2 linked regions of the Lepisosteus oculatus genome follow. The protein of the gene in region 2 binds, or shares a complex with, the protein of the main gene of each other region. Links are inferred from orthologs where the notes say so. Each region holds a gene or a part of one and is shown on either strand. Other genes may lie near its edges.

The links.
Region 1: the proteins of gdf11 (region 2) and fsta are in contact, whole or in part, in a crystal structure (PDB 5JHW), measured with the Homo sapiens proteins. The link is inferred for Lepisosteus oculatus from reciprocal best matches to the Homo sapiens genes GDF11 and FST. Residues at the interface, in NP_005802.1 of Homo sapiens: Asn299, Leu300, Gly301, Leu302, Glu310, Arg312, Asp328, Trp329, Ile331, Ala332, Lys334, Arg335, Tyr336, Lys337, Tyr347, Met348, Phe349, Met350, Pro354, His357, Gln361, Ile380, Asn381, Leu383, Phe385, Asp387, Lys388, Gln389, Gln390, Ile391; in NP_037541.1 of Homo sapiens: Leu34, Arg35, Gln43, Val44, Leu45, Tyr46, Lys47, Thr48, Arg60, Ser62, Asp72, Asn73, Leu75, Phe76, Met79, Ile80, Leu134, Asp135, Arg149, Gln153, Pro154, Glu155, Val180, Val181, Asp182, Gln183, Tyr188, Val190, Thr191, Asn193.

The regions. Positions count from the first base shown.
Region 1 is NC_090698.1:38,663,426-38,674,013, forward strand, and holds the start of fsta (follistatin-A), read right to left. Parts: upstream 4,684-10,588; 5' UTR 4,528-4,683; coding exon 4,434-4,527; intron 2,918-4,433; coding exon 2,726-2,917; intron 2,500-2,725; coding exon 2,281-2,499; intron 2,038-2,280; coding exon 1,813-2,037; intron 1,101-1,812; coding exon 870-1,100; coding exon of another isoform or gene 862-869; intron 1-861. UniProt on the Homo sapiens protein: Multifunctional regulatory protein whose primary function is to antagonize members of the transforming growth factor beta (TGF-beta) superfamily including activin, myostatin, GDF11 or bone morphogenetic proteins (BMPs).
Region 2 is NC_090696.1:14,592,373-14,601,848, forward strand, and holds the start of gdf11 (growth/differentiation factor 11), read right to left. Parts: upstream 3,784-9,476; 5' UTR 3,386-3,783; coding exon 2,968-3,385; intron 1-2,967. UniProt on the Homo sapiens protein: Secreted signal that acts globally to regulate anterior/posterior axial patterning during development. May play critical roles in patterning both mesodermal and neural tissues. It is required for proper vertebral patterning and orofacial development.

The sequences.
Region 1 (10,588 bases), on a different chromosome or scaffold from region 2:
GTTTTATTTGTTTAACAGAAGGGATGATAAATTAAATGCATTGTTTTCATTATATTCTTAAATGAAAGCATTCAGTCTACAATGACATGGCAAAGAACAAATATCAATTTGACAATAAAACAATTTTGCAAGACATTATCTGATTGGCTGTTTGGAATGTTGTTATTTTCTTCCACTCCTCTGCAGTACCTAATAGTAACACTAGTAATTCAGCACATGAAAAAGGTCATGTACTGCATTGTGCTGAGAAATATTACTTGATTTAGTTATCATGTTAACATTGCCCCTTAGTATTTAAAACTGCAATGGTACCAATGTTACAATCACCTTATGTACAATTATGAATGTATGCTTCTATATAAAGGCTTAATTGTGTATGTCATAGTAGAAATCAATGTCAGTGGATTTTAAAATGATTGATTACAGCCATAAGCAAGGAAATAAATACATGGTTAACATATGATTACCATTATGACCGTGTCATTTACAAGATGTAAAGATATGGCCAACTTATGTGTCTTCCTACATTGACAGCATGACAGCAAGTATATCGTCTTAAGGCAACCTGCTGAAGGACAGGCTACTAGAATTACCATGTACTCTTCTACAATTTCTTAGCAAGAGTGCACTAACTGCAAACATTAGTCTTCAAATATAATCTTGTTAGTTATGTGAAGGGAATTAGGAGCCCAATAGCTCCCAAAGATGAGTCTTCATGTCTACTTCGGTTTTTTGCAGAAAATGCAAAATTAATAAAGCCAGTGCAAGAAGACATGCAACAACTCCCATTTCCAGTCTTTTCTTTTCCTTAGTCTGCAAGGGGTGGCTGACAGAATATCGAAGTGTCTTTCACTTTATGGTTTACTTACAGTTGCAAGATCCAGAATGTTTAACTTCCAGAAGAACGCCCACAGAGCAAGCGGCCTTCTTCATGGCACACTCGCTGGGGTACGTGGTGTTATCGCTGGCACACACTGCCTCATCTGATCTGCTCTCAGGACACACTTCATCACACAGTGAGCAGCGTCCCCTGCCCATTCTTGCATCCCATAGACACGTCTTCCCAGCGCTGCACTGGATATCATCACAGGATTTCGCTTCTACAAAACCAGGGAACACCACAGAGTCCCTTAGCAAACTGCCCTTTATGTTCATAAACACCACATATAATTAAAAGCAATGAGGATTTGGCTTAATTTTATGACAGAGATAAAGGGATTCAGTAAGTATGCCATGAGGGTATGTTTTATAAAAAGAGCTTGGCATACATGTACTGTCGTCCTAAGATCACATAGAATCAGGATGTGCCATCACATACATATATACAAACATACTGTACATGTATATATTTTCCCCAAAATAACAAGCATGTAGACCAATGTAATATGATAGCATAACGAGGCTCCAGGTCTCCCATTCATAATTACTCCCTTACATGTTGTGGTAGTAAGACGGGTGTTGGCATCTGGACAGAACACATGGAAATCAACTAATAACAGCAAAGCCAACAAGGTCTGGAAAACATTTTAAAGTTTTAACATCATATGACCCCAGGTATGTATAACAAAAAACAGTTTGAAAATGAGAAACTGTGGCAGACTAAATTGGGGGGTGAATTGAGGACATGAAACTTTTTTTAAATATTACTTATGTCTATAACTAGACATTTTCTATCAAAATGGAATGCACTTTCATGTTCATTAGGATTAAAAAGAGGCTTTTTTTCTGAAATGCAGAAAGACAAACTTAAAGGTGTCAAAACAGTGATCTGAAGAGTTCGGTATTGTAACATGGGACCTGACAATAACTTACTTATGCATTTTCCTTCATATGCAACACCAATTGATCTGCCCAGCAGGCAAGTAGCCCTTCTCAGGTGGCAAGCGCTTGCATAAATGATTCCATCATTTCCACACAGATACTGCTCTGGAGATGTAACTTCGGGGCAAATCCGATTACATGTCACACAGTAGGCATTATTGGTCTGGTCAACGACGCACGTTGAACTGCCCGGACACAGAACATCACGGCATGTCTCTATAAGAAAGTCAAATTATAAGTAGATCATGTTGTTTTTTTTTTAAAGAAGGGACTTCTTTATTAATATGTTGTTTAATATCATTGAATATCGTCAACATCACCATTATATTATTAGGCATGACCTATGCACCATTAGTGTATTTCCACACAACTGCAAACAGTGCATTTCCACAGTCTTTCTCCTTCTTAGCATTCACAGCATCTTTTAGTGGGGAAGACAAGAGACACTAAGGAACTTACTTTTGCATTTGCCCTGGTATTGAACTTCCAGGTCTGGATGACCTTTACATCTTGCCTTCAGCAAGGCGCATTCATCTCTGTAGGTCTTTCCATCGGACCCGCAGACAGGTCCTTTCCAAGTAACATTGGAACAGTCGGGAGCACAGACACAGCGGGGTTTGTTTCTCTTGTTCATTTTACATCTTTTTCCAGGGCCACAGTCCACATTGTCACAAGATTCTACACAAATAAAACACAATAAATGACATGCAGCTATTGAAAAAGGGTAATGACCTTGGAATTCACGTTTTTATTAATTATTTCCAAATGAAATTATTTATTCACAAATACACAAACTAGCTTTGCTATCTTCATAAAATTTATTGATCTGGCACTTAATCGTTTTTTAATAAGACTGCTATACACTGTACATCGATAGTAATATATTGGGCTTAATTTCATGTACCTTTACAAGGTACACAATTTGGGGCTCCTCCGTTGAAGATCATCCACCTAAAAAGCGTGCTATTTGGTACATCTTCCTCGGTCCACGAAGTTCCCAGTCTGCCACTTCTGCAACACTCTTCTCTGCTCATCCCAGACATGTAGAGAACCTGGCATCTTCCGTTTTTTCCCTGCTGTAGCCAGCAGTTACCAGCTGCAAAGAAAAAGAACTTAAAGTCGGAAGCCAATGACCCAGACATAACACGTGCAGCTTACTGTATATTGGCTTATGGTGGTCTGTTTATCCTCGGTATTTTGTCTGATTCTGTAACGTGACGAGACATTTAACAATTGCAAAGTCAGATCCCAATACGATTACCTACCTTACGACAACCGTCTACACAAATCGGAAAAAGCAATACAATACTACCGCGTCTGTTTTAAACCAGATTTCAAATGGACAGTACGAGTCACAGTACGGGGGACAAGGTACCGCATGAATAATATGCTAAAGCACAGTACAATAGTGTAAAGCCAGCCTAAAATCAAATTATGATTAATCGTATTGAAGAAACTAAAATCACCAAGATACAACTACTATCACACGGGTTTTGTTAATAATGCTAAAATGTCGAGATACCACTGCAATCACATGGATGGTGTTAATTACAGTTTAAAACAAAGAACACTGCATGAAATGTTAACAGCTGAAAACTTGCTTTTCAAAACATGTGTAGCGTACTGTACACTTGCGCTTCATCCCCCTTGTCCGTGCACTCTGTGTGAGAGCACACTGAAGAAAGCAGCAGTGTCGGATTTACTTCAACACTTGGGAAGATTAACTGCTAGTCACAGCATTACCATACAGTCGGTGCAACGCGGCGGACATGTCATTGCAGTACACTTTCCGAGTCACGCAAGGTTTATATTTATTTTGCTGTGTTTCATGAGACGAGTTGACCTACTTGGATCGCGGTTACACTGCTAGCTCTTGTATGAAAGGAATGGGACTTCACTACCAATAAATAAGCAATGTGACTTTTCTGTTGGTTCAATGGCAATTAATTCATCCAGCTTCAATGGGTCGTGAGATCTGTAGGCTATTTACTATTCCTGTCTTCCAACAAAACGAGACTCAACAGACTTCATGTAAAGTCTATTAATACAACTGCCTGAAAAGTGGGGTAATAAAAAAGTTGAAAACTGAAGCTTATATTTAGAGCTGCTAGATAAATTGACTGTCAGGGAGAGCAGAAGACTTAAAATCACGTGTTATGTCTCTGGTATTAATTGTATTATTCTTTCCAGTTTAAGTTTCCTTCAGGAAATCTGAAGCCTAAAAACACAGTTATCGCTGTTATACATATTAAAGTGCTTCATTTATAGTCCAGCACAAGTATACCCTACCATAAACCGATGCTTGGCTAGTTAGTCAAGTGAAATATAATATGCAGGTAAAAAGCTTGAATATCCAAATATTCAATACATATTTTAAAAACGAATAGAAATGCACCTGTTTTGTTAGCGCTTAATGCATTAAGATAAAGCTGAGTTGCATGTTCAGAACAAAGTTAAAAGTAAATACAAAGTGATCTTGCGTATACCCGTTAGGTCTTGAAAAAGTTTTAAACCTGACACTTTATTTTTTATACCATACAAATGTCTTTCAAAATATTAAATGGCATCCAACTAAAATGTACTACTAAAAATAACTGTATACTCGCACTTACCTTGCACTTTGTGATCTTCAATTAAATGACTTAGCCATATAAATAATAAAATCATGCCCGGGTGGAGCTGATATCTCTTTAGCATCCTTAGCATGATGAAGGCAAAGTGAACCGGAGTGAAGAAACAGGCAGCGGAAAAGTAATCTGCTTACGATCGCTGAGTTGAATGAATGTCAGTCTGTGAATGCAGCCTCTCTTTTTAAATCTATAAGGGGTCTCGGGCCGACTGTCTGTGGTGGGCGGTCTTCTAATCGGTGGGGGTGGGGAGTAAGATTAAAAAAAAGTTCTTTCGATCCAAATCAGGTGACATCTCCAGTCGAAACTTTCTCTCAAAACAATAGTACAGGAAACTATGCACAGTGGGCATGGTCTGGGATGTTGTGTACTGTATGTACGCGTCTGCGTTTGATACAATGTGAAAGAATACCAAGCCCGTCCCATAATGAAAGTGGAAGATATTGCAAGGCTATATTTATCATGATATAGCCTAATAACTGACATTAAAACTAAGGTCAATTAAAACACCTACACATGTTTTACATTAGAAAATGATTTTTTTTCTTATGTTCAATAATATTAGGAAATAAATCTCTTTTTAAAATTGAAGGTTTATGGTATTAACTTAAAACAAGTTTTAAAAATAGTTTTATATGAATACTTTACATTAAGAGAACTATACAACAACAACAACAACAACAAATGAATCCCAACTCTGAAAAAGAAATTCTTCAAAATGACCAGATTTCTATAACACCCAGCCATCTAAAAATCATTACAATATAACTACTGAATATTATATCACTGTAAGCAGTTTCGCCTTGGTTTTACGATTGCAACATCGAAAGACATTACTTCGTTTCATTATAATGCAGGTTTATTAACAGCCGTCTGGCTTTTGTTTACTCTATGTAGGCGAGTGCTCATTCTTTACAACATACTTGGCACTGTGCTATGAAAATGAGTGGGCGACATTTCTGCAAAAATTGCCTAACGTAGACGCTATTTACTCCAGTACTTTTTTCAAGATTATGCACCTCCTGAACTCCATGCCTTTTGAATAAATCCCCGCACGAAGAATGCCAATCGATTTTTTGGGTCTACCCACTTTCCCCCAGCTGCAAATATCTCGGTGATAACAGATATTCTTTCCACCAACTGCAGAAGATAGTGCTAATCTTTTAATAAAAGTGCTGTATTACAATAAGATCTGCCTGGACCGACAATAATAGATCACAGAATACAGGCATGCTAATATTAGAAGAGACAGTTGTTTGGGTTTCTCAGACCCAGGCTCTCAAGTTTATCCATCCCCGTTTCCAAATAGGTTTGAGAGCAAGCGGAGTATTGTATTACATAGCGAATATACATTAAGCAATAGTTGTTTCTAAGCAAATGCACCCTCTGTTATGTTCCGATTTAAGTCCACGTGCGACCTCTTCAGCAACACGCACACAGTGACTCGCTGCTCTTTCTGTGTGCGGTATTTCCAATTGCTGTAAGTCAGCTTTCGATTAAAACGGGTCGGGTTCCTTCTACCGGCAGACAATGTGTACTACATCTTTAACGAGTAAAAGAAATATGCTACTCTTTCTTTGCTCATAGTTGTGTTATGGATCCCCCCACACACGTAATTTATGCTCGCCAGTGAAGGGTTGATCCGAGAAAACAACTTATTTTAGGTCACATCTAGGTCTAGACTATCATGATATGTAGAATTTAGAATAATTTATATAACACCTAGTGGTACGTAACATTAAATAATTTTCAGAGGTTTGCACAGTAAAGATTAAATGATATGAACAGAACCCAAGAGATGCTAGCTGTCGGTAGTCTAATTTGATTCAGACAATGATTATTTACTAGAGGAATTGATATAATTCCAAGTGTGATATGTTTGTTCAATTCAGGTGGGTAGCTGCGTCAGCAAGCGTAGGCTGCAAAGGAACAAGTAAAGGTTTATGACATGCTGAGAAGAGAAAAAAGCAAATACAACGTTTGACGTTGACACCTGAAGAAGGCTTCACGGCCGAAACGTTGTGTTTTCTTCTCTTTTCACCATGGAATAAACCTATTATTTGTTTGTTCAAATTATTGTTTTAGGCAAATTGTAGTTTAAGGGGAACAAATGTATATATATGTGTGTTTAAAAGGTACGGAAATTGTGGAAACATAATTAAAAATCTCCTTTCCAGTAAGGCCTAACGCTTTAAATGAATTTGTTTATGTGACAGTGAATTAATACGAAAACAAGAACCAGAAATAATTTGGTGCCGTGATATTAACTTTTATTTGAATGCTCATGGGGTTCCCCACTGGAATGAAATGCTAAAAATCCTCAGTTTGTTGATGGAAAATGGTAAACAAGGAAACTGCAATTGTCATTTCAAAGCACTAATGTGCTTAAAAGAAGCTTATGGACTGATGGATTTTGGTTTTATTTTCAGATCATGTCAAGTTGTATTAATGAATTTCCAGATTTCAGACCTACTGTACATCTTTTTCTTTAGACAATGCTTTAATGGTGTTTCCCCTGTAAAGCCGTTAGAATGTTTTTATGTAAAGCAGTGTTTTAATGTATCTAAACCTTTTGGCTTATAACATCGATAATATATTTTTTTAATGTGATATGCGCAAAAATCCCGTTGAAAACAATATAATTTGTTTAAAAGGAACAAACAGTTTTAACTTCTACGACAAAACTAAATAACACAATAAATGTTTTTCTAACACAACGTGTTTTTCTTAAGACCTTCGCTGATAAACTGTCGATTAAAACACGTAATTGTGCATCTCCAGTTAGAAAATAAATTTGGGTGTGTTCAGTAATTATTCTTGAGTTAACACTATATTTTTACTTAATTATTTGAAAAAATATATATAGCCGGTAGTACTGTAATGATCAAAAATCTAAAATGCGCGCTTGTCAGCTGAGAAGTCATGAGAAGTTGGTTTTTAAGTTTAGCTCGCCCTAAACGGAAAAAAAACAACACTTTATGTAGAAATACATATTACAGGCAAGTTATACTGCATGTGTAAACTATATACTCGCGTTGAAATATGAACGAGCAAGACACTGATCAAGGAAGAGCATATCGCTGCCACATTAAAACAAACAAAAATCGCAGTCAGAACACATCTGATAGCCTGCGAAGTCACCAGCATGTTTTATGGAACAGTAAAATTTTCCTCTGTGCTTTTTTTTTTACCAATGTAATCACACCATATGTGGAGATCAGGTTTACACCAGGTGCTCATCCACTCCAGCCTTTACAAGTACTGTATGTACAGTAAATGGATGCACATTCCAATAGCAAGAGGAGCATCTAATGAAAACAGTCATACTGGTATGATCAGAGGTCCTGTTACAGAATACTGTGACATGAAAATGACCAAACCAATACTGCAGTGTTATAAATTCAGGTCATTCTTGCCTTAAGATGTGGTGACCATTCTTGGGTGTTCATAATGTGCATTTGAAATAACAATTCATTACTTAACAAACAATAGCAAATATTCTATATCTGTCAATGATTTAGCATGTGCATTTCTTTTAAATTTTCTGATGTTAAAAATAATTTTCAGCCAAAGATTGCTTTAAATACCTCTATGATGAAGTTAACTTTTATTCACCATTCAATCCAGAAAATGTACCCACAAAAGTATTAAAAATAGATTTGACGAGGGTGTCCAGGGGTATCCTCTATTGCTTGAGAGGAGGCACTGAGGTTCAGTTATTGCTTGCATTCAAGATGAAGAGAAACCATTTCCCAGAAACAATGCAGATGCATAAACCAATTTGGTATACAGTATGTCATACATGCTGTTTTTCTAGTAATAGAGTAATCTTTAGAAATAGTTACATGGAATATGTTCTTAGTCAATACATAATTAACTAAGAATTCCAAACTGTCAAATTTAACAATTTTCAGAAAATCAGTCTTTTGTTTAAAAAAATCAGAGGTTGCTAATTATGTTAAAATATTAAAATATAACTCATTTAAATATCTATTTTTCCTTTTCTTTTTGGACATAACCATACATTAATGGAAAAACTCAAAATGCAATGTATTGTATCCATCATAAAAATGAGACTGCCTTGCTTATTTTTCATTCCAAAAACATGAATAGTTACATGCTGAAATGTTTTAGAATTCCTGAAAATGTAGCTAATGTGACTTTTTAATTATTGTTGTAAACGAATGTAAACAGTGTGGAGAATGTGAACTGTGTCTATTAAAGAAAGGTGGACAAACATATGAGATGGTATACACAAAATAAAGGAAAAGTACTGGAATACCTTACATGTGTATCTTATAATTGCATTATGGAACAAATCAACACACTGGATTATAAATTAATGTCCATTTGTCTGAAGACAAGTTTGAGATACAATTGAATACATGACATCAGCATAATCAAGGGCACAAGCAAGAGATGGATGGCCACTTTGCTGCAAATGTGTAGAGACATATAGTTCTTATTGCATAAAGTGCCTAAAGTATACAATTAAATCAAGTCTATGAATACATTTACCTTGATAAATGCTTTTGAATGTAGATGATATACTGTATACTGTGGGGTATATGCTAAACCTGCTACAGGCAGTTCAGTATGATGTTTTTAACTAAGTGGTTGCACTTGGCAAATACAATTGCATAATTTAGCCGCTTCATTATATTCCTGTATTGTAATGGTTGGCAACAGAAAGAAAATAAAAATATGAGAGTGAGATCATGTAGAAAATGATATTAAGACATTTAGTGTAAGATTGTTTTACTTACTTCTTCTTTACAAATTAATAGCAACTTTGATTTCTGTATATTGTTTTCCCATTGAGCTCTTGAAATAGGAAATTAATTACCATTGCTGAAATTTTCCAAAAGAAAATGAGCAACAAGAGTTTTTTTATGGTTTTAAACTGAAAAGACCATTATAGAGTTGCAGAATCATTTACTCACGTTATCATAGTTATCCTTATAACAGTCCCAAAAATGTGGGGTTGAATCCTATACTGTACTCAATGGGTGATGCAAACCAAGCTACTGTAAATGTTAGACATTCAATGCATATTTCTTGAGTATTCTGCCCAATTTTCATATTTGGACATGCTGTACAGTAATGACTTATCAATTAAATAGCCAAAATAAACTGTTCAAAATAATTACATTCAGTTTCTACTTAGTGTATTACTTGCTCATTCTCAGTGAGTAACAGTAAAGAGAAATAATGGCACTATCTCACTCCTAAAATATAATATTGCAGTATAACCTTAGTGAAATTGACACCATCAGTCAAAGGAAAATAAGCTTAAAGCCTATACAGTCTATGTTGACCCCATCTTAGCAGCACCTCAAAGAGCTGCTGTGAGGAAATAAAAAAGCAATTTATTTCTGCTTTCACCTAGATGTGTGATTTAAAGATTCCAACAGTATCTTTTAATGGTTGTTGAACAGTAAGCCTGAAAGAAAACTGCTAGCAGAAAAGACCTCAATTGCTTTTCTTTTGAATTTCTTGTTTTTCTTGTTTTTTTTGTGGACTCATATTTGGGAGAGCTATTTTTGTGGGTTTTATCACATGTCCTTGTGCTATTTGCCAAGCCAAATGCATAATATGCTCAAAGGTGTCTGGCAACAAAACATTGATCTGTTTTTATTTACGTGCTCATTTAACACTGTTTGACAACATGTTTGTTATTCCTAGATAATTGTCCCAGAATGTTATTACTCAACATTTCAGAAATAAAAACCAAAAGTAAGCATTACCATTAATATTACTGTATAAGCACTGGAACTGTTTCATTGTATGCCGTGTAAAATGTCAGTCTAAGGAAAGCACACTAATTACATTAGTCCAGTAATCATATTATAAGCAACAGGCTAGCCTACCTACAGTACATTTATAAACAGGTGTCAACATTGTTCATTTTATAGAAAATACCTTTGTTCACAATCAATGGAATTAACAAAAAGGTTGTCTAGTGCCTATAATTAAACTCAATAATGACATTTAATGACTCCTTTAAGGTATTATATACTGTATGAATACAGTAGGTAACCGTTAACACTAGAGGACTTTTGATATACTGTATTAATGGCAGAGTACAGGATTGATCACCCATATCATTAATCCATCTATATTTTAACTATTGGATAACT
Region 2 (9,476 bases):
AGGCATCGCGTGTGATATTTAGAATTTATCATGTCTTAGGTGAGGAAACGACATCAGGATCGAGGAAGCATTAGAGCTGAGGCTCCCTGGACTTGGATTTTAGCATCCGTTCCAAAGTTCCCCTGTAAACCTCATCTGTTCCAGGCCTAGAACCAGCGCAAATGTAAGCCAGTTAAGTCGATAATTGAATCAATTAAGTCATTAAATGTTCAGGTGGAATGAAAACCTGGAAAAACCAAGGGGGGGAGGGAGGATCTCCAGAGCCAGCAGTGAGGGGCAGGCCACCAGACAATTCAAGCCCTGCTAAGTGTGTGCCTGCAGAATGAGATCAGAATGCATTTGAACTGGTTCCGTAATCTAATTGTACTTGAATTATACCGATTTTCTAAGGCAGCGGGTACGACTTGCTCATGCGAATCCGAATCAAAAATCTTTAAAGCTGCAGGTCCCATTTCTGGGCGGTTTTCCTGACGAAGCGAAATGATGGTCAGAGACTGTGACCCGCCAGTTAACAGGTAATTGTAACCCCAACTGTCCTCAGCGATGTTGTCCCTCGTCACGGTTCAGCAGGCAGAGGAGAACGTGGGGAAACGGGGAGTGAAGGTTACAGCCAAGACAAAACGCAATCCGATTCGTACCTTCTCTTTGATTACAAGAACAACAACCTTTGAGTCCTCTGCCAACTAAAAAGTGCAGAAGGAAAATGAGAAGGAATGAATGTGAAATCTTCTAGTGAAAAAGAGAGGACACGGTTCTCACCACTGGACATCATCCGTAATTTTCACCCACAAGCAGACAGAAATGGTTAATTATTTCGGGATTAAAAATTAATCCCTTGCAGGTTTATATGAAGTTAAAAACGACATTGTTCAGCAAAAGGCGCGTTAGATTGTATGATTTGAACCCCGGTTTTTATTTTTTCTGTTCTTATCGTTATTATTACTGTTAACTAATAGCCGATTTAATGGTGCTCTATGACGTTAGTTTATTGTGTACAATACAGCGTCCTTCTCTGCTGGCTGAGCTGTAGCAGTAAATAAATGTATACTACATTGACCGTGCGTAAACCCAGTACAGTTCCGTCATTGATTTAGGATTTTTAAAATGCAAAACCGACTTTCAGAATACAAAATTACTGAGGCGGTGGCATGACAACGGAGGAAAACTCGAAAGTAATTCTAATAAAATATTTTCGTTCTTCCAGTTCACGTGCTCCCGTTGTCGCTAATCGCCTCTTGCAGAACCCTCAGCGTTGCTATTGTGACGGTAAAAGTGCGAATTCTAAAGAAATTGTGTGGAAGAAATATATACGGAGTCTATTATGCGCTCCGCATCAGCACAACGTGGCCTGTGTGACAATCACTGTAGAAGTTAGTTATGTGCAACACAAACCTACCCTTGTTCGCTTTTGCAAAGGATTAGTTAACCCGGCTTTTGGGTAGCCTTGTGCAGAATACATTACGTGTGTAAATCTCGTCGAACCTCAGCGATTCTCCGCGGAAAGGTCACACACTCCCTCGAATCCAACTTTCTCAGCCCTGCTATCTCCAGTGAAAAAAAAAAGCGAGCTCTGCCTATAAAGTTCTCATTTGAAAAAGGCCAGCGCAGCAGAGCGCCGCAGCGACAGCTAACAATAGCGGGTATTTGAACACACTTGTCCTCGCTGCGCGGAGCAGCGGGAGACCCCGTTAGAGCTCGCTTATAAAGGAGTACCATAGCGCAGCTGTTGACTGTAGTAAGGTTTCTAAAACTTGCAGTATGGCCCGTCTCTGCGAGACCCCTAACCCTGGACGTTTCTTCATCTGTTGCGCTTGATGTAATTAGGTTTCATTTACATTGTCGTTAGGATTAGGCTTTCTCGGCGTAGCCGATACGGACGGCCCGCTTGAAGGGGCGTCAAATGATCGCTCTCGGTCTGTCAAACAATTTAAACAAGCCGCATATGGGAGAGAGGAGGGGGTTCAAACGCGAATTTGCCCAACCGCGACGCGTATCCGAAAACGAGCGAAACTGGTTCGCACTCCCGCGGTTCCTGGTGTGGGTTTGGACGCGGGGACGCGGGAGGCTTCGTGTCCTGCTCGCTTGCTTTAAACTCGTCGTCTTTTGTGGGACGAAAAGAAAGGCCGCTAAATGAAGAGGCAGCGAACGGACAACCTGCACACCTGTTATAGCCCGCAAAATGAACGGCCTGTGCCGTTCTCAGTAGATGCGCAACTACAGTACCAGACGCGTCTGTGTGCGGCGATGACGGGTCTGAACACAACATGACAGAGAAGATTGCCGGCAAAGTTCTTTTTAGTACCTAGGCTGTGTTCCGTGCATTAACTGACGAGATTGAAAGCTCAAATTAAATTAAGGCTCGTACCAAAGTACACAAAATCCGAGCAACGCAGAAAACGACCAGCCTAGAACACTGTTCTGTAAAGAGGGGGGCATTTTCCTACACAGTCAAAATGGGAATTAAGGCAGTTTGATGCGTCTGGTCCAGAGGAGTCCAGCAACACGGACGCGCACAGTGCAGATGACAGACACAGAGTGGGGACAGCCTGGGTCCGACTCCCAGGAAAAAGGGATCTTCCTGGAGACTCCACTACAACGGCGGAACCGGGCAGAAAAAAAAATACATTTTGTTCTCAAGTTCACATCAGTTTATCGACCCAAATTTCAATAGGGACACATAGGAAAACTGACTTCTGCGTGCGGAGTGTCCCCTTCACGAATCCCGCGCCCGCAATCTGACAGGCGCCCAGCTGACACGGGGGGAACGGAAGAGCTAACAGACTCCAATAGACTGCAAGTGCGGGACTCCGCCGCCTGCCCGGCTCTGCTGGTCAGGCTTCTCTCAAAGTTAGCGGGGGGGGGGGGTATTTCTTCAATAGCCGCAAGTCGCACCGCTAGCAAAGACTGGAATAACTAACGCGCCCCGAGGGGACCTGCTGGGAGAGAGGTCTCGCCGCGAACACTCACGTTCCGAAGCCATGGTGATCACGGACTCGGTGGTGGCGTGATACTCGTCCTCCTCCATAAACTCATCCTGTAGCGAAGCGTCCCCCTGGAAGTCGTGATGGTCCAGGAGCTGCTGGAGAGGCGGCGCCTTGGGGAGCAGCTGGTTGACTACCTCCCGGCTGATATTGGGCGCCTGCTTGAGCCGCAGCTTGCTCAGGATCTGGGACTTGATGGTCTCCAGCCTGAGGACTCTGCTGTGCTCCCTCCACACGCACGCCGTGCACTCCTGCGCGCCCGGATCCTCCGCTTCTGCCAAAGGATCCCCGGCTTCCGTGGGCACCTCGCTCGCCGGCCGCAGGGGGAGGCTGGGCTCGTCACTGCCCGACAGTCGCAGCGAAATCAGTGCCATCAAACACAGAAGAAAGTGAGACTTGGGCATGATGCCGGGCAGCGTGAGGTCGTGTTCTCTCCCGGCTCTTCCTCACTTCGTTTCTCACAAGTGACTTCTGTCCGTATTCTTGACTGCAGCCCCTACCGCGTCCCTACAGAGCTAGCGGTAATTAGCAACAATCCCAATACTCCAATTAACAGTGCTAAACGATTATTAACGCTCTTAACTATGAGAAACGATGATAATAAACGCGCCGCAGGGTGCGCCCAGCCGTTTCTTCGGCGCTCGCTGCCCTAGCTCGTTCAGAAGTGCTGATTTATCGGTTTGTTTTGGTTGTAGAGCCGGACACAATTAAAATCATCAAGAATTCCGTGTGAAGATGTGTGAATGAATGGTGTGCAGGCAAGTCTAAAAAGGGCTCTTTTTATATCACAGCTGCTCCGTGTCGTATTCCGCCTCTATTGGCTGCGAGCGCAACAAAAGGCTGTTAGGTCTGTCACCAAGTCAAGAGAGAGAGGGAGAGAGATAGCGAGGGGGAGAGGGAGAGCGCGGGGGGAGAGGGAGAGGGAGATAGAGAGACGCGGGGAGAGGGAGACAGAGTTTCAGTTGGGTCAGACACCCTGTTAACGCTTCCCGAGCGACTGCTCCGAACTTCGGTTAAAAAAGAAAACTGCAAAGGATCACCTTCGCGCCCGGGGGCTGGACTGTCCAGGGCCGTGAACGGGCTTCGCTCCAGTGTCCTCTAGCTGCTGACACTTCTCCGAGATGTCCCCCTGGCACGATCCGTCCGAGTAACAAGTGCGTCGGGGTTTGAGAGAATAAATGAATGCCTTACCGCTGCCGCCCGCCGCTCGACGCCAACCTGTGGCCTCCGCGATTTCGCCGCGCAGGTGAAGCCGCACTGCTGATGGACTTGAATTACTGTACCAGGCTCTCTCCACAAGCAGAGCGTCAGGCCGTAGGTCAGAGGTTTTATATACCATGACTGACTCTGCAGGCGAGTCAGATAGATCACTTTCTGTTGTAGAACGGTAGCAACACATAGGCTATCGAGTACACATCTTTCTAACAGCACCGTGAGGAGTTAGACGGCAGGCGACGGTCGAAAATCGGATGACGATCTCCGCCAATACTGGAGTATACGGCGGTATTGAGAGTATTCGTGGTGGGCGGGAGCATGGATCTCCTCTTGACAAGATTGCTCTAGTTCTCATGAACCCCGTCGTGTTAAACTCGTTTCCGTTGTTCTCTATTTACCCCCCGGAAAAATTAAAGCGAAAACGAGATTAAATCGCGTTGTTAAGCATCGCCTTTGACAATACCCCCGAAAATGAATTCCCGAACTCCATAGTTCCACACTGTTCTTAATGGTAAAACTTGTCCAGGAAATCAGACTCTCCACATTGCCTGGGCAGTGCAGGAATGGACTCAATCCCTGGAAAGCGCTGAAGAGCGAGCGAATTTCCTCGACAGCCTGGCTCTATCGGGCTGTGTCTCGTTTAAAAGCCCAGTGCTTCCTTTATTCTTGAACAATCATGCGGTTTCATCTGCTCGCTTTCGTGTTCAGATGAAGGCATCGCTACCATAAATGCCGCATAACTGTGCCCCCGCATTTACGCGGGGTCTCCCTGTACAGTTCCCAGTCCCGTGTTTCTTCCAGGAGAGCTGCAGAGCAGAGGGGGACGCGTGACCCAGCGGGGTGAAGTGGCGCGAGTGTGAAGTGTCACTGGGCGTGTCAACGATGTGTCCTGGTCTTGGGAAAGTTGTCAGGTACTGAAAGAACAACCCCGTGGGACAGCTGAAAATATTGTGATCACCTGATTGTGGACATCTAATAGCTAGCCAGGTGGTGAATAAACCTCTTCTTCAGTCCCATCCTACAGATTGTCTCAATGACTCTTAAGTGTCTTATGTTAACACCCCATAGAGATCTGGATCAACAGCCCCTCTGCCCCAGTGCTGGGCTAGAGATCTGGATCAACAGCCCCTCTACCGCAGCGCTGGGCTGGAGATCTGGATCATCTGTCCCTCTGCCCCAGCGCTGGGCTGGAGATCTGGATCATCTGCCCCTCTGCCCCAGCGCTGGGCTGGAGATCTGGATCATCTGCCCCTCTGCCCCAGCGCTGGGCTGGAGATCTGGATCATCTGCCCCTCTGCCCCAGCGCTGGGCTGGAGATCTGAATCAACAGCCCCTCTGCCCCAGCGCTGGGCTGGAGATCTGCATCAACAGCCCCTCTGCCCCAGCGCTGGGCTGGAGATCTGCATCAACAGCCCCTCTGCCCCAGCGCTGGGCTGGAGATCTGGATCATCTGCCCCTCTGCCCCACTATGGGACAGTGATCCGGAACGTCAGCTCCTCTCTCCGAGAGCTGGGGCAGAGATTCAGAGATCCTGAATATGCCCCATTGGCACCTCAGGAAATGGTGTCATGTGACAACCAGGCTATGGTCTTGCTGCCATTGGTGTGCATGACTTTCATTTCAGCTTTTTTCTCACTCCTTCACCTGTCGTCAGGGACGTTTGTAGACTCATAATGCTAAGATCGCAGGTTTTCAAACCTGAATTTGACCTGCAGAATCATTGTGGCTCACTGGGCTCACACTGCCCAGACTTCAGATGAAGCTTACAGTGCTCCAGGACTTCTGAGTTAGAGACAGGTGCTTCTGCTAGGGGGATCTAGAAAGCCTCTGAACATGATCCAGTAGTTCAAATCAAACTCCATTTCCGAAGCAGCTGGTGCAGGCTGCACTGACTGGGCCGCAGGGGTCACAGGAAGCTGGGCTGATGAATACTGCTGGCCTGGGTTGCTTCAGATGTTATTATGTCACAGGTCATGTGAACGAAGTGACGAGTCCTTTCAGACTGTACGGTAAAGTTTATGAATTTGATTTTTTTGCTGTTGCATAATAATAAGCACACCGCAATATAGCTGTCAAAGCAAAACAGCACGTTGGGCATGGTTGCCATCACGTTCTGGCTGTGCTTTTTTAGGGTTTGGAGGAGGAGGAGAATTTGGGCAAAATAGGGTAATAGATTTCATTTAACAGAAGTTGATGACACATTCACTAAGTTCAGGTGGGTAACTAAAGGTTTATTCCATGCTGAAAGGAAAAGATCAGAGACACGAGACTTTTGTGTCTCTTTTGCTTTCCTTTTCAGCATGGGACTAATTCATAATGTGGATAACTGCCAATATTAGTGAAGGAATTAAAACAGAGGGAAAAAACCCCATCACATTCAGGATATCTTCTATTTCTATTGCCACTTCACGTGCGAATGTTGTATTTTAGTGCTACCTAATGGTAATTAAGAAAATGATTGCACTGTCTGGCAAAGAACTAACACTCAGTTTGCTCATTGATTTATTTCAGTTTTGCAAAACCTGTCCTGTTTCACCGGGTCCAGCTCTTACAAGGCCAGCTGGTGACCTACATGAAATCCAATTGTCATGTTGGCGCTAGGGCAAGGAGTGCTCTGGGGATTGCTGTGATACATCTGAGCCACTAGGGGGCACACACTCACTGTGTCTCCTCGACTGCACTGGAAATCCAGGCCCAGTGAAGTGAGGTCCCTTGCTGAAGCACGCAGTGTGTTTCAGAGGTAATAAAACCCAGGTTCTGTCTGTCACCTCTATAGCAGGAGAGGCAGGATTCTAAAGTGCTGCTCTTTGTCCTCTGATCCCCGCAGTTCATCCCTTTCACAGGCCTTACCTGTTGTTAGGTGTGGCACAGTGAGCCTCCAGAGGAGATCGGACCTCAGCAAGTCGGTGGGGTGTCTGGAGACTGCAGAGCACTCTGAGAAGTGGGTTAATCACAGTCATAATAGGCAGCGTACCAACTTAATTAAGGAGAACAATAGTTCAGAGCAGATAAGCACTGCTATTAGGGTCAGAAAATATTGCTGGGCTACTGAGATATATAAAGGTAAAAGTCAGCTGTGTCTGCACTAATATCTAAGCTCAGAGGAAAAGACATCATGACATACTCATGGTCTGACCTGCACGCTGTGGTTCCTGAGATGCTCAGAGATACAACTGGATTCCAGAAGAACGGTTCATTCTTTAAAAAGGAACATGCCAATCCGTCTGAACTCTTCTGTGGGAAATGGGCTGAAGTCCAGGCTGGTGCTCCTGGTTCATAGGAACGCCTCTCTGCCTACTGGTGTCTCAGCGCGACCAGACTGAGACTGGATTATGATCCCCTGTCCGATCCCAGGGTAGGATGAGCTGCTGGCGGGTCGTGGCTGGTCTGTGAGCAGCTCGGTGGGGAGATGTGACTGGGGCGCCCCTGGCCTTGCTGCAGGCACAAGCACGTGCCCCTGGGCAGACGACAGCACAGGTCTTGGAAGGATCTTTCCAGGGAGGACTCTCAGCCTTTGATCCAGAGCTGTTATTGCTGCAATGGGAGCACAACAAAGACCCAGAGGATTCTCTGCTGGTCACGGCTGCGTTGGTGTAGATGGGTGCAGCCATGCTGAAGAGCCCAGACCACAGGCGCTAATGTCATGAAAAGGCCTGAGCCCTGAAGTCCACAACGCTTTGTGTACTTCTCCTGTACGCTTTTTGTTTCTCTTGTATGAGATGCCTCCTGCTGTGCTGTATCACACAACAAAACTGAAGCACTGCAGTGTGTGTACTGCTTCCAATCAGAGCTAAACCCAGGGGTGCCAGTACTGAATGTCTGCAGCATCTAATGAGCTGCACACATAAGTGCTGGAAGTCCCTATGTGCCTCTAATTCACTTAGAATGTATTTTTATGAGATGCTAGTGGAAATCTGTTCCCAGTGTGCTTGAAAAAGACATCACTTGTTGTCTTGATTGTTTATAACCAAAACGTATTAACTCAATAAGATAAGATCACTTTATTAGTCATATACAATTTCTTGTATTAGGAATTTGTCTTTTCACATACCTCAGCTCACTCTCCATGAAACACACAGACATGGAGAGAAGCTGGCAGGTCAGCCATTTATAAGGCACCCCTGGAGCAGTTGAGATTAAGGGCCTTGCTCAGGGGCCCAAGGGAGAAGGATTCCTCTGCAGCGCAGATCCTTAGCCACAGAGCCACCTCTCCCCTCTGCAACGACTGGGACTGTGGCTTTGTTCTACTTTTTTCTATCCTACTTTCCTTGATTGCTGTAGTTAAGCAGTTTCCTCCTCCTCCTCCACTGTTCTGTAAAGTCCAACAAGTCCTTTCCAGCCACACGGCTAATTTGCTCTTTGTTCCAGGTACCACTTTCTCCTGCCTTCAAGACTAAATGCGTCTCCTCTCTGTTTGCACGTGCATTCCCTGGAAACTTGATTCACGGCTGAGCTTCAGGTATTCTGCAAGATCCCAGACTGAAGTTCAGCCAGGAAGCCAGGGCTGAACCCTCTGCTCTTTTGTGGAATGCCAGGGTTTATTTCATGGCCCTGTTCCTTTAAGAAACGTGCCTCTCAGAACAAAATATTTAACTGTTTTGCGTGAATACTGAGAGGTCTCTTGGCCAAGGTGATTAACAACACCTCTTGTCTGAAGCAGAGCTGAACAGAGCACATCGTTATGAGCTGGGCAGGATGATGGGACCAGCAGCGCCTTCAGCCTTAAGCTTTGTGTCGACGTCAGCCTGCTCTAGCACTAAGAGATGTTCCCTGCACCCTGGCCAGCAGCTTCCAAGAACACTCCAGCCACTTCCACCAAGGAGGGTGTTGCCGACGGCTTGCCTGAGCTGTGCTCCAAACAGTTTGCATGCAAAGCTTGCCTTGATGAAGCCGGCATCTCACCCGGCTGCATCTGAGCACACCATCACAGCATGCGTGAGCTCCTCCTTCTTGGAGCACAGATTCAATCAGTCACTCCAAACCCCCCCACACACCCCTTCCATCAACAGGGGCTGGAGCTGCGTCACTCCTCTCTCCTTCCATGCAAACCACCCTTCTGCCCTGTAACCATTTCCTGCGCCCCTGCTGAGAGGTTCATCCAGCTCTGAGGTTTATTTTCCACCATCCTCTACACTTTTTCAGCTTTGGACTGGGTGCCTTAAGGGGGACTAGGTTATTCCAGGCAGACTTAGAAATTGCGATATTTTAAAACTGATTCTTTAAATCCAGGCAGACTTTAAAAAAGTCATACAAACAGCCAACAAACTGCTAATCACCCCA